Drosophila melanogaster: one gene and its partner. The protein of the gene in region 1 purifies or fractionates together with the protein of each later gene. This does not show direct contact. Each region holds a gene or a part of one and is shown on either strand. Other genes may lie near its edges.

Region 1 (5,717 bases):
CGATATCACGTTATCGAACGCTGCACAGCTGGTCATACTAGCTGACCAAGGCAACTCTGCGATCTCGTCCACCTGGGCACACTAGTTGGCGGTCATCGTGTAGTCATTCAATTTCCGACTTCAAACATCCTTCATCAGCCTGCAAGCGAGTTCCGACAAATTTTCAACCCGGTCATGGTTAATTCACACCACAACTAAACGCCGAGATGCCGAACATATGAGAGGCTCGACTTAAGATGTTCGGCATTCGAATTTCTAACGTCTCCAAATGGGAGACTTTTAAAATCACGATCAGTATATCAGTATTAGCTTGTGAGCTTATTCCACAAATAAAATATTAATTACTAGATCTCATCTAAGCGTAACACGCTGAAATCTCGACAACTCATTGTAAGTGAATATGCCGTAGTGCAGGGCATTAAAAGCTCTACAAAGCCCCCCAGTTACACAACTACGATTATGTTATCTGAACCCGGTCCGAAAGCGACTCTCTGGTAATTCACAGGCACCGGCCGAACTTAATGTTAATCTCAGACTCAGCTTCGATCGCAGTCTCATTCGTTCCGCTCAGCTGTATCGTATCTGATCGATCCGGTCCGGCATGGGAAGTTTTCCAGCTCTACTTGTTGTTGTCGGCTCGCTGGCATTGGGCGCGAATGGTGAGTGTGTACGGAATACGGGATCGTAAACAAGTCTGGCTGTGAACTTAAGTTAACGTGGGACGATCCCCGATCTCCGATATTCCAGCTCAACTCCCGCCCATCAATTGTGTTGCAAAAATTCCGAGTGGCCGTGTCACCGGTCACTGCATTTCGATCCGGGAGTGTGACTACTTCATGAGAATCCTGCTATCCGGCAATCTCAGCCAGAGCGATCGCAACCTGCTCCGTGATAATCAGTGCGGAGTGCGGGGCAACGACGTCCAGGTGGGTGATTCACCACAGTATCTCTCCCTACCCAATTGAACTCGAACTTCCACAACTTGATCCATTAAGCGCTACTAAATAAAACAAGCTCGATTATATTGGGCCTGTTCTGGTTTTCACTTTCACTGCCCAGCTTCATTTTTTTGGAATTTTATAAACGCTTGCGTTCTTATCATTTTCTACAGATAAGAACTTGTAAACGATTTGAATAGGGAAATACACCACATTTTGATAATACGAATGGTTTCAAATGAGATATCATTCTCCTTTTAAATATTTTAATTACTTCCATTGTTAATGTTAAGGAAACTTTTTGTAAAAATAAGTGACCTCAAACTGTATCATAAAAAAAAACTCGTTATTCGAGTACGCTTTTGGGAGTTCCTCGTAAAAGAGATATACTTTATAATATAATGATAAAGCCACTGTTTTTCTAGGTATGCTGTCCTAGTACCGCCGGCTTGGGTGCCCTGACCCACCCACTTTTGCCCTCGGATTGCGGAAAGGTTCGTTGGCAGCGTTCGAATGACACAGATACGCGAATCCGGGAGTTTCCCTGGCTGGCCCTCATTGAGTATACGCGCGGTGAGTTGCCGGTTTTGGTAATATATGTATATGTAGGTCACAGTATTAATCCCCACCTTTTTTACTCCGCAGGCAACCAGGAGAAGATCCATGCGTGTGGCGGTGTGCTTATCAGTGATCGGTATGTGCTAACTGCTGCCCATTGTGTGGCCCAGGCGGCGACTAGCAATCTGCAGATTACTGCTGTCCGGTTGGGTGAATGGGACACTAGCACGAATCCCGACTGTCAGTACCATGAGGATAGTAAAGTGGCGGATTGCGCGCCTCCCTACCAGGACATAGCCATCGAGGAGTTGCTTCCACATCCGCTCTACAATCGCACCGACAGGACGCAGATCAACGACATTGCCCTCGTCCGACTGGCAAGTCCTGCCAAGCTCAACGACTTTGTGCAACCCATTTGCCTGCCCAACAAGCAGCTGCGAGCGGACGAGCTGGAGGACCTGGTCACCGAGGTGGCCGGATGGCAGGCTAGTTCCTCGCAAAGGATGCGAAAAGGTTATGTGACCATTAGTTCGATTGAGGAGTGTCAAAGGAAGTACGCCAGCCAGCAGTTGCGCATCCAAGCCTCGAAGCTCTGTGGCCTGACCAATTCCCAGGAGTGCTACGGCAACGCTGGTGGACCACTGATGCTGTTCAAGAACGATGGCTATCTGCTCGGTGGACTGGTGTCGTTCGGACCCGTTCCCTGCCCCAATCCCGACTGGCCGGATGTCTACACCAGGGTGGCGTCCTACATCGATTGGATTCACGACAGTCTCAAAGCATAGATTGAAGTAAATACTTGGTACAACAAAATGTTCAGTAAAACAAACTAAAATAATAACTAAATCTTTTGATTCAGAAACAATATTTCAATAACTTACCTTGTGGGTAACAAAGTAGAAAGATTGTCTTTAAAATATGGAGATTTTCTTATTTATTTTGAAATTGGCGCCTAATATTATTCAATGTGATAGCAATTGGGGTATTTTTGGTCGCGTTAGGCGGAGAACTTTATGTGGGACTCCGGCGTCAGCACCTGGTTACACTTCAATCGAGTTTTAGTTCGCTTAGTATAAAAATCGCAAACCTACAAATCGGCAACAAATCTCCAGTTATAGCTTAAAGTGTTAATTAAGTGCTTAATAAATTAAGTATTTGTGTTGGCAACATGGCTGAAGCTGTAAAAAATGGTAAAAATCGTCACTCGGGGAGCGCTGAAAAAGGCAAGCGACAAATGGCGACTGTCTTATTGGATTGTTTTTTTCTTTCCTTTGCCCCTGCAGTGGGCAGAGTTGCATTTTCGAGTATTTTGGCGGTTCAAATTTGAATTTGGTCCTCTTGCTCTTTCCAGAAAGTGGCTCCCAACAACGACCTTTGGATAGCGGCGGAGGAGGGGGCGCCAGTGGCGGAGGCGGTGTCGCTGTAGGAGGCGGCTCGGGAATGCCGAAGAGGAAACATCGGCGGGGAAAAAAATCCAAGATGCAGCCCAAGAAGACCAAGAACCATTATCCGCAGTGGAAACTCGATATGTCAACGGGTGCAGGAGCAACGCTGGAGGGGAATCAACGACAGAATAGCAGAACCAAGCTGGTTCGTTCGCGCTCCTTGCTCGTTCCGTACAACACGAACCGCTTCCTAATGGAGGAACACATGTCGGAGCTGCACAAAGATGACTCCGACGACAACTGTTTTGGCTCCCAGACCGAAGATCAGGTGCTCTTCCTTTCCAAGGAGTTCTCCGATGTCTACGAGCGAGCGCGGCTCGAACGTTTGGAGACGATGAGCAAGCAGGAGCTCATCCAGGAGTGCATGCAAATCGAAGATCGATATTCGAAGGCCCAGAACATATCCAAGGAGTTTGGAGCCAAATTACGAGCGCAGGATGATAAGATTCGCCAACTATCACGTGAGAATCAATGTATGCGATGTCTTTAATAATTTGAAAAACCAGGAAAATTTATAACTTGTGCCTTTTATTCCAGTTCTGCGCACCCACCTCTTGCGCACGTGTTCCGCGACAGCTGGACCAGCGGCAGCAGCAGCGGCCGCAGCTTCCCCGCCCTCAGCGGTGGCGCCCACTCCCAGTTCAGCTTGCGAGCTGCAGGCTAGACAACAGCCTCCCCAGCAGCCACAACCCACACCCATGGACTCCACCAGCGAGGACAGCGAAAGCGACAGCAGCAGCACCACGTCGAGCACCACGTCCACCACTTCCTCGACCAGCAGCGATGGTCACGAAATGGGCGTGGCCGGCCTGAACATAGCCAATGGGCATGCCGAGCGGCACGAGAGGAGCCGCACCCGCTCCAGGTCTAGATCACCGATCCACCTGAATGGTCATGCCAACGAGGAGGAGCGTCAGCGCCTGCTAGATGGAAATCAAATGGAGGAGGACGACAACTCCAGCGATGTATCCAGGCCAGCCGATGCAGTTGTCAAATAGAATAAAATAGAAGAGTATGTCACTCCGCCGTGTGTAAATAAAAGACTCAATTGTGGTAGAATGTGGCGATAAATGGACATAATCCTTGTTTAGTTTTTAAGTCATCTGTGGACGCCTAAATTGTGAGGAGTTCCTTTCAATCATCAAATAGCTCATCAAAAAGCATTCATCAGAAAGAATTAGCATTACTTTATTATCTGCAAACGACGCCTCCCAATTGTATTTTTGTTGGTCTGTATGGTGTATAGTTTAGCGGTGTTGCCTCGAAGTGTTGATTTTAATGGAACTTTGTATAATGAAAAATCGATTTGTAGATAAATAAAGAGTTAAAACATGAATTCGAATAACTACCGCTATTCATTTTCTTACGGTGGGATGCGCAGTACATTTAATTTATATAATAAACTGGGTTTTGCGATTGTTAGATATCATATTTGGTCCTAGGGACATTTTTTAAAAACTTCCTTGCTACTTTAGTTTTAACATCAGATAAATAGTTTTGATTTACTAAAAGTCTTGTTTTGAGTCTGTGCTTTGGCTTGAAGTAGTATCCACAGGCTTGCCTGCTATTAACTTAACTAATGAGCTGTACTCCGTGGCGTAGAGCGTCCTGGCAATGCCCGCGTAGCCCACACCCACCAGTCTTTGTTCGGCCAAAGTTGCCTGTGGCTGTATATTGATTCGCTTGGGTCCTCGAACAGGCATCCATCCGCTGACAGGGCACGTATTGGACATCATAACTCCTCGTATGGCAACGTTTAAGCCCATCACAGACAAATTATCATCTCTGTACTCGTTGAGCATGCAATCTGATAGGCCCAAGTCATTTATGGCGGTCACGACATCATCGATTTCCTTAAAATGCGGCAGATAGTTGGCATATACAAAATTCACAAAATTCCTGGGCTCTGTATTAAAGGCTTCGGTTATTTCCTCCGGGCTGTGTAACATAGTTTTGTCCTCATTAACTGATGAGATCCAAGATTTGAATGAGTATTTTTACAGAGAATGTTTCGTGGGACTTACACTTAGGATTTAATACTCTTCCAAGTGCGTGCATCAGAGTAATTGATTCATCTCTACCAATTGACTTTAAAGTACTTTGCATTTTCTTCTTACGACCTTTTGCGGACACACTGACATTTAGCTGTTTGGTCGGCATGCTGGAAACTCCCTTTAAAGAGCTCAAATGTAAATTAATTAACGCATTTCTTATGTCGCCCTGGGCACCGACAACTATTGAGTCAACAACAGCGGTCGAGGGCACCTTGTAAGTAGCTTTATTCTGCTGCATTACGGAGCAGAAGGTTTTCATTGACTTTTGCATGATTGTAGATGCAATAGCATTGAAACTGATGTGCTCGATGCGATGTTTGGCCTTCAGTTGGTCTGGAAAGAGGCGGTAGCTGATATTCAATCCTCGAGATTTGGCATCGGCAACGATGAACACCAGGGGAGATTTGCCATACGCCGTGTACTCTCTGAAATGGAAGGAAATGAGGGTTTATTAAATTATGTTGAATCTTATAGTTGGTGTTCAATTCCATAGTCCACCGGTTTTACCTACTCTAGTAACTCTTCAAAGTTGACCTCCTTATCGCTGAGCAGGACGTTGGGAAAGTCCTCGACAAGAAGCAGTCTCTTATTTTGCGAGTCCAGCAAGGATTTGTATCGCGAGGCACGGAGCAGAAAGCTTTTAAAGGCCTCCAGATGGGAGCCCACATAGGAGGCGCCAGTCGTTTGATCACCCAAGGTGTTGACCACCTCACAATCGATAG
Region 2 (6,139 bases), on another chromosome or scaffold:
AAGTTGCTGGGCTACCCACTCGTTGTTCACCAGGAATGGAAGATGCGACAGCAGTCCACCGTTCGAGAGGTACATGGGAAACGTCAGCTGCCCGGTGGTGGCGTCCACACAAACCTGACCAGCAGCTGTCGCCTCCACCTCGCTGAGCATTGACGCTGGATCGGCAAAATTTATATTGAGGCCTTCGCTTGTAAAGCTGATATTGGACGTATCCAAACCAGCAACCATTTTTTGGACACTCTCGTTGGAGTTCAGTACGATAAGCTTGGAGATGGAGAAATTGGGATCTGCATTGGTTCCTGCGGTGGCTGCAACGGCGGTGCGAATAATAAGCGGTGTTTGCGGCGGCACGGGATCCACGGCCTGTTCTGTCGGCAGCACATCTCCATCAGCAGCGGGAACAATAGCAGCCCCAGCAGCATCAGAGGCAGGCGACACACCAGGGTCCTCCTCATTTGCCAATGGTTCATCCCCGATCACCACCTCCTGTATGATGCGATCGAACGAGGGATCCTTCTCGGTGGCCTCCAGTATGTTCTTCACTAGACCATCCAACATGGCGTCACAGCTTACCGACGGATTGTTAACAGTCACCGTCTGCAGCGCTACGTTAATATTCTTTACCAGCGTCTCCTGGAAGTCCTGATTCTTAATTATCGCGCAGGCCAGTTCCTGAAATCAATGTAAATCGAAAGAGTGTTTTTTGTTTAGAATACATAATAGATGCACTATTGGTTAATTAAGCAGATATGCATTAAGCATGTCTATGGACTTACAGGCATGCTTTGCGGCGTGAGCAGAAGTGGATTGGACTCGGTATGACCTTGGCGCGGCGTGGAATTGTTGCGCGGACCAGGACCATTCGCCGGAAGTAAGTCATCCTCCTCCAAGTCCTCGGTGGCCGTTGTGCTCTCGCCATCCTCTTCGTCCAGTTCCGCCTCGCAGTCATCCTGGCTGCCTAGGAAACTCTGCCTGACCTTGTCGCGGTTAACGCTGCAGTAGAAGTGTGGCGGCAGCAGACGCGGTCGCTTGCTAAACGAAGGCGAAGAAATGCTGTTCACGGGAGAATGGGTGCGCCTGGGGAAAAGGGGTAAGAGAGCAATGAGAATTCCGATGTGCTTGTGTCAAGGAAAAATCTATAATTACAAGCGCCTTCTCTTGCGATGCGACTGTGATATGGTGGGCTCGCCTGGGGTGCTGCTTTCATTGGTACAGCTACTCCTCTCGCCGGCGGCTATCAGTTCGCTGACCCGTTCGGACAGCTTCATCTGCTGCAGCTGCATACGCATATCCAGCGGCAGCTTCTGCACGGCACCGGCCACTGAAAAGAGAGATTTTCGGTCAGCCGCAAAAAAAAAGAAACGCAAGGAGCGTGCTAATTTACCCAAGCTTGTGATCTTGACATGCTCGCAGATTATCTCCTCCAGACCCCCGTGAAGGAAGTTGTGCGTCTGCAGGCCCTGTTTAAGGGCCAGGAACTCGTGGCGCAGGTGAGGCGATGTGCGACACAGAGTGTGTGCGGCCCTTTTTAGATTCTGGTTGACTAGGTAGCCTACAAAATGGAAGAGCATAAATATTGCGAGCTAGAAAAGCGTCCAGGGAAAACCTACCCAGGACCAAGCGAGCCACGTCCGAATGCAGGACAATCGACTCCATGGCTGGACTTTCCGACTCAGCTAAGCGTCACCATCCACTCGCTTTTCGCCTTGCCTTTCTTTTTTTTTTCGCTTGCAAGACTTTAGGTTTATCGAACGCACTTGTAATGCCTTATTATTGACTGTTGCAGGTTTAATCACTCAATAGTTAGTCGGAATTGAATCAGCGCTTTAATTCGAGAGAGAATAAACCATTTTCTCGCCTATTCGCCGACTATTTTCGTTTTGTTGTTGCCGATTCTAGCGGCGCACTGTACAACACACATAGGTTAGCATAGCATCTGTGTTTTTTTTGCCGCCCGCCAAAACAACGCAGTAGGGTTGCCACAGCGCCGAACTATCGATATAGTCCCGTTGTTTGCGCTTGGCTGCCAAGCCTTATTAGGAGCGTGGGAAATAATGGTAATAATTAAAGCAAAGAAATACGTCTCTTTCGCTTAAAACAAATTATAGCAGTTTTTATTGCTTTGATGGTCTTGCTTCAATTCGTTTTTATGTGTACGTTACAGTACTTAGAATCCGATATTCGTTAAACTATCGATATGGGAATGCTGCAAATACCTGGCATCCCAGCAATTCATAACTAGACGGCGTTGCCAAATAGATCAGAACGCAAAAACCAAGTGCAATATTTTATTCGAGTGACTTAGATTACTGGTTAACTGGCACTCAATGGCTGCCAAGAGTATCGAGAAGGAGAAGGGCGAGGGTCAGGAGCCCGCGACATCAGCGGAGAAACCCGATCCAGCCGCACCCACTGAACCAGCTGAGGAAAATTCCAAAGAACCGGCGCCGGAAGACGCATCGCCGGATAAAAAGGATGGTGGACGCAAAAGGAAGAGGCATTTGTTCAATTCGATTCGCGGTCAAATGGAATTCTACTTCGGTGACGCCAACTTGAGCAAGGATCGCTTCCTTCGGCGCTACGTAGAGCAGGATCCATGTGAGTAGCTAAGGTTGGCTCACCAGCCAACATAACACTGATCATGTTATTCTTTTACAGATGTACCATTGGAAATCTTTCTCACTTTCAATAAGATAAAGACGCTCACCCAGGATGTGCAGCAGATAGCCAAGGCACTAAGCAACTCCCAGCTTCTGGAGCTGGATGAGACCGAACTAAAGGTCAAGCGACGTACCAAGCTACCAGATCAGCGCGATGTCAACGACAAAACCTTGTATGTAGAGGCCCTGCCTGCAAATGCCACTCACGATTGGCTGAAGGAGGTATTCAGCCGCTACGGACCGGTGGCCTACGTGTCCCTGCCCCACTATCCGGGCACTAAGAAGATCAAGGAATTTGCCTTTATCGAGTTCGAAAAGAGCGGGTCCTTGGAGAAAGCTGTGAAGGCTTTTGCCCAGATACAGGGCGTTTTGTCCGTAGAAACCGATCCCAGTGATCTGGCCAGTGTGCGCTCCTTTCAGCAGCAGCAGCAGATACAACAGAAAGCGGAGCAGCCGCAGTCAGAGGCTGAACAGGTTGAGTTGCCAAAGCGAAATCTAAAAAGGGAGGCCACCGACAAGGATCGCGAGGAGATACACGAGGTGAAACGGGTTAAGTTGGAGGAGGGCCAGCCTAGCGAGACCTCTACAGCTGGGGAAACAGCGAGTGAAACGGATGCAGAGGGCACAGCCGAAGCCTCCGAGCAGGAGGACAAAACAGAGGCAACCGATGGCGATGAAGCTGCCAAAAAGCGCCGTCGCAAGCGCAAGAAGAAGGCGATCGTGGACAAGCCAAACATTGAGCCCAGTGCCCTGGAGCTCAAGGTGCTACCCAAGACTAGTTGGAGCAGTATGCGCAATAAGTACTTGAATCTACAGCGTCGCATCGTCAGTGAGGCAAAGAGCAAGCTGTGGCGAGAAAATCACCCACAAAATCAGCAGCACCCTCACCACCAGCAGACCAGTCATCCAAACCATCCGAAACCTTCACAGCTGCCCGAGGCAGTTAAAGAGGAGGAAACCGGAGGCGAGGTCCCTAGCGATGGCGGTGAAGGTGCCGTAGAAGCAGCGCCTGTGCCAGCCAAGCGTCGCAAGGCGGTGCACAAGATGAACATGAATTTCTACGGCGCCGGCGGCGTGGAATCCACCAAATCCGAAGAACCTTCGCAGGAACGCACGCCGCTCTTTAAATACGAGCCCGGGCTGATTGTGGAGTGCTCCCTGCTAAAACCATGCACCAATGTTAAAGAATTTAAGGCTGAAATGCGCCAATATCCGGATATTAAATATGTGGATATTAAGGAGGGCGACCAAGTGGCCCTACTACGTTTGGGCACGCCTGCCGCAGCCGAGGAACTGCTACGCCAGGTCAACTGCTCCGAGAGGCAGCTGAAAGTGCTCTCTGGCCAGCAGGAGACGCTCTATTGGCGAAAAATCGAGCAGGATCGCGAGGCGAAACTCTCGAAAAAGGTGCGCGTGCAGCAAAAACGCGGTCGCGAGAAAGTGGGCAAAATGCTGGGCAAGCACATTAAGTTTGATGATGGCGATGATGAAGTGCAGGCGGCCGCCATGGACTGAGTCACTTTCAGTTGAGGGGTGAGTTTGGATTTCATTTCAGGAAACTCTATAATATAAGCTATATAAATTTATAAATGTAAGCAAAAGATACATTTAGATCTAGCACAAGATTTCGTAATATTAGAGTAATATTGTAAAAACAAATTGAATTTTTAAAAAAGAAACTTCCTAGTGAAATTGAAATAAATCTTCTGAATGAAACAAACCATTTATTTTTACAAATTTGTCTGATCTTACAGGAACGAGAAAGAGATGGTTATATTTTCTCTTTCACTTATTTATTGATACGATCAAAGAATTGTGCTAGATAAAAGATACAAAAAAGAACTTTTGGCATTATTAATAAAATACATTTCCTAATTAATTATGTACACGTTTTTGAGAAGATCTTGCTATTCCTAATGGTTGCATATTTGCATTCGTTATTATGTACACTGTAATGGAAAAGTTAGCTTATGACCTATTAACCCCTGTAAAACTAAACTATATGTAAAGTGAGCCATCCGCTGGCCCCAAATAATGCATCGAGATGAGCAGGACATCGATGATGGTCCAGACGCCGAGGCCGCCAAAGCTGAACAGCTTTCCAATCCCTTCCTGCCAGTGGCCCAAGTAGAATCGATCGGCTCCAAAGCCCCCTAGCGTGAGGCTAATCAGCAGGGCTGTGCTCCACCGATAGCCCTGCGTCCAGTTGCATCGCAGGTTGCGGGTAAAGGATCGATTGCCGAGGCAGAGCACATCATGGTGCACGGTGCAGTTGGTACGGAATAGCTTATCCGTCGCCGAGTTGCAACTGGAGCGCTGGCCACAGCTCTGTTGCCACATTTCCGTTTGGTAGCAGTATCGGCAATTCATTTGTCGCTGGAAACTCCGTTCGCCCAGGCACTGGACATTGTTGATCACCTCGCAGGTTACATTCAAGTCCCGGCCGTAGATGCATCCATGATTGTAGTTGCAACGGATGCAGGGAAACTGCAGGCGATCACAGGGCGTTTCCTTATCGTACGGGCATAGCATGTTGTTGTTCCCATTGCTGCTACTGCTACTGCTGCTGCTGCTGTAGGCGGTTATGTTGTCCAGGAGTCCACCGGCACCTCCTCCACTCTTGGCCACCATGCTGGACACCAGGGGCGGCACATACACCTCGTTATCGTTGGCATTTCCATTGCCATTGCTCGCATTGCTGTTATCCTTGTGATCGCCTTTTGAGTCCGATAAGTCCATCTGGTTGCCACCGCTGGCCGTTTCGCTGTTCCTGATCCCCGTCAGCACGAAGATCATGATCAGGACAATGGCCGATCGCATGTTGACCACAATGCACTGTCGTTGGAGCCTCATTTTGGTCAGATAGAGCGGGGAATACGCCGGAAATGTTATTGTTTTTCCCTTTAAGAAAATGAGTGGGGTGGGAGAGTGTGACCGTATACGCGTGGCATGAAAATATCAACCGCGAATGCTCAGGAGAAATTTCTTTAAAAAGCGTATCGAATAGTTTATAGATATGTTTTGGCTCAATTAAATTGGCTAAACAGATAAGTATACCTCTCCCCTCATCGTAACAAATTAGTAATATCTAATCCTAATATCCTTTCCATTTAAGTTGTGACCATTGGCCGCTTTAGTCGTAGGAGTGTATTAACGGTATTTGGTAATCGCGACATCTGGCCATACCGCACCGTCTGCGAAAAAAACCCAAAAGTCGCCGATTTTGGCTGATTATTGCAAAAATAATATTAACTATCCGTTTGCTGTTCGTGTGCTCGGTTCGGGTGTGTTAAAGTTAAGCGCAACGCGAGGAATTGGTGCAAATTTACCAGCGGCTGGACACACAAAACGAAACATTCGCACTTGGCCTCCCTTCGCACGCCCCCTCGCCGACGCCCCTCGCCCCTCACACCCTTCAGCCGTTCGTCGGACGCCGCTGTTCGTAGTGCGTTTTGTTGTTGTTTCCACTGGAACACTCT

The links. Proteins that work in one complex are often made in the same cells at the same time.
Region 2: the proteins of Hexim (region 1) and Larp7 purify together in Drosophila melanogaster (affinity purification with western blotting; 2 studies listed by BioGRID, with this or other methods). This does not show direct contact.

Annotation. Positions count from the first base shown.
Region 1 is NT_033777.3:14,656,897-14,662,613, forward strand, and holds Hexim (hexamethylene bisacetamide inducible), read left to right. Parts: upstream 1-2,541; 5' UTR 2,542-2,664; coding exon 2,665-2,719; intron 2,720-2,847; coding exon 2,848-3,414; intron 3,415-3,478; coding exon 3,479-3,939; 3' UTR 3,940-4,281; downstream 4,282-5,717. Other genes in the region: CG3505 (uncharacterized protein), read left to right, coding at 602-659, 748-926, 1,364-1,511, 1,584-2,281; Rad17, read right to left, coding at 4,447-4,907, 4,966-5,420, 5,507-5,717.
Region 2 is NC_004354.4:9,241,549-9,247,687, forward strand, and holds Larp7 (La related protein 7), read left to right. Parts: upstream 1-2,268; 5' UTR 2,269-2,327; coding exon 2,328-2,598; intron 2,599-2,658; coding exon 2,659-4,175; 3' UTR 4,176-4,377; downstream 4,378-6,139. Other genes in the region: mxc (multi sex combs), read right to left, coding at 1-672, 777-1,077, 1,147-1,321, 1,385-1,552, 1,611-1,656; amx (almondex), read right to left, coding at 4,659-5,513.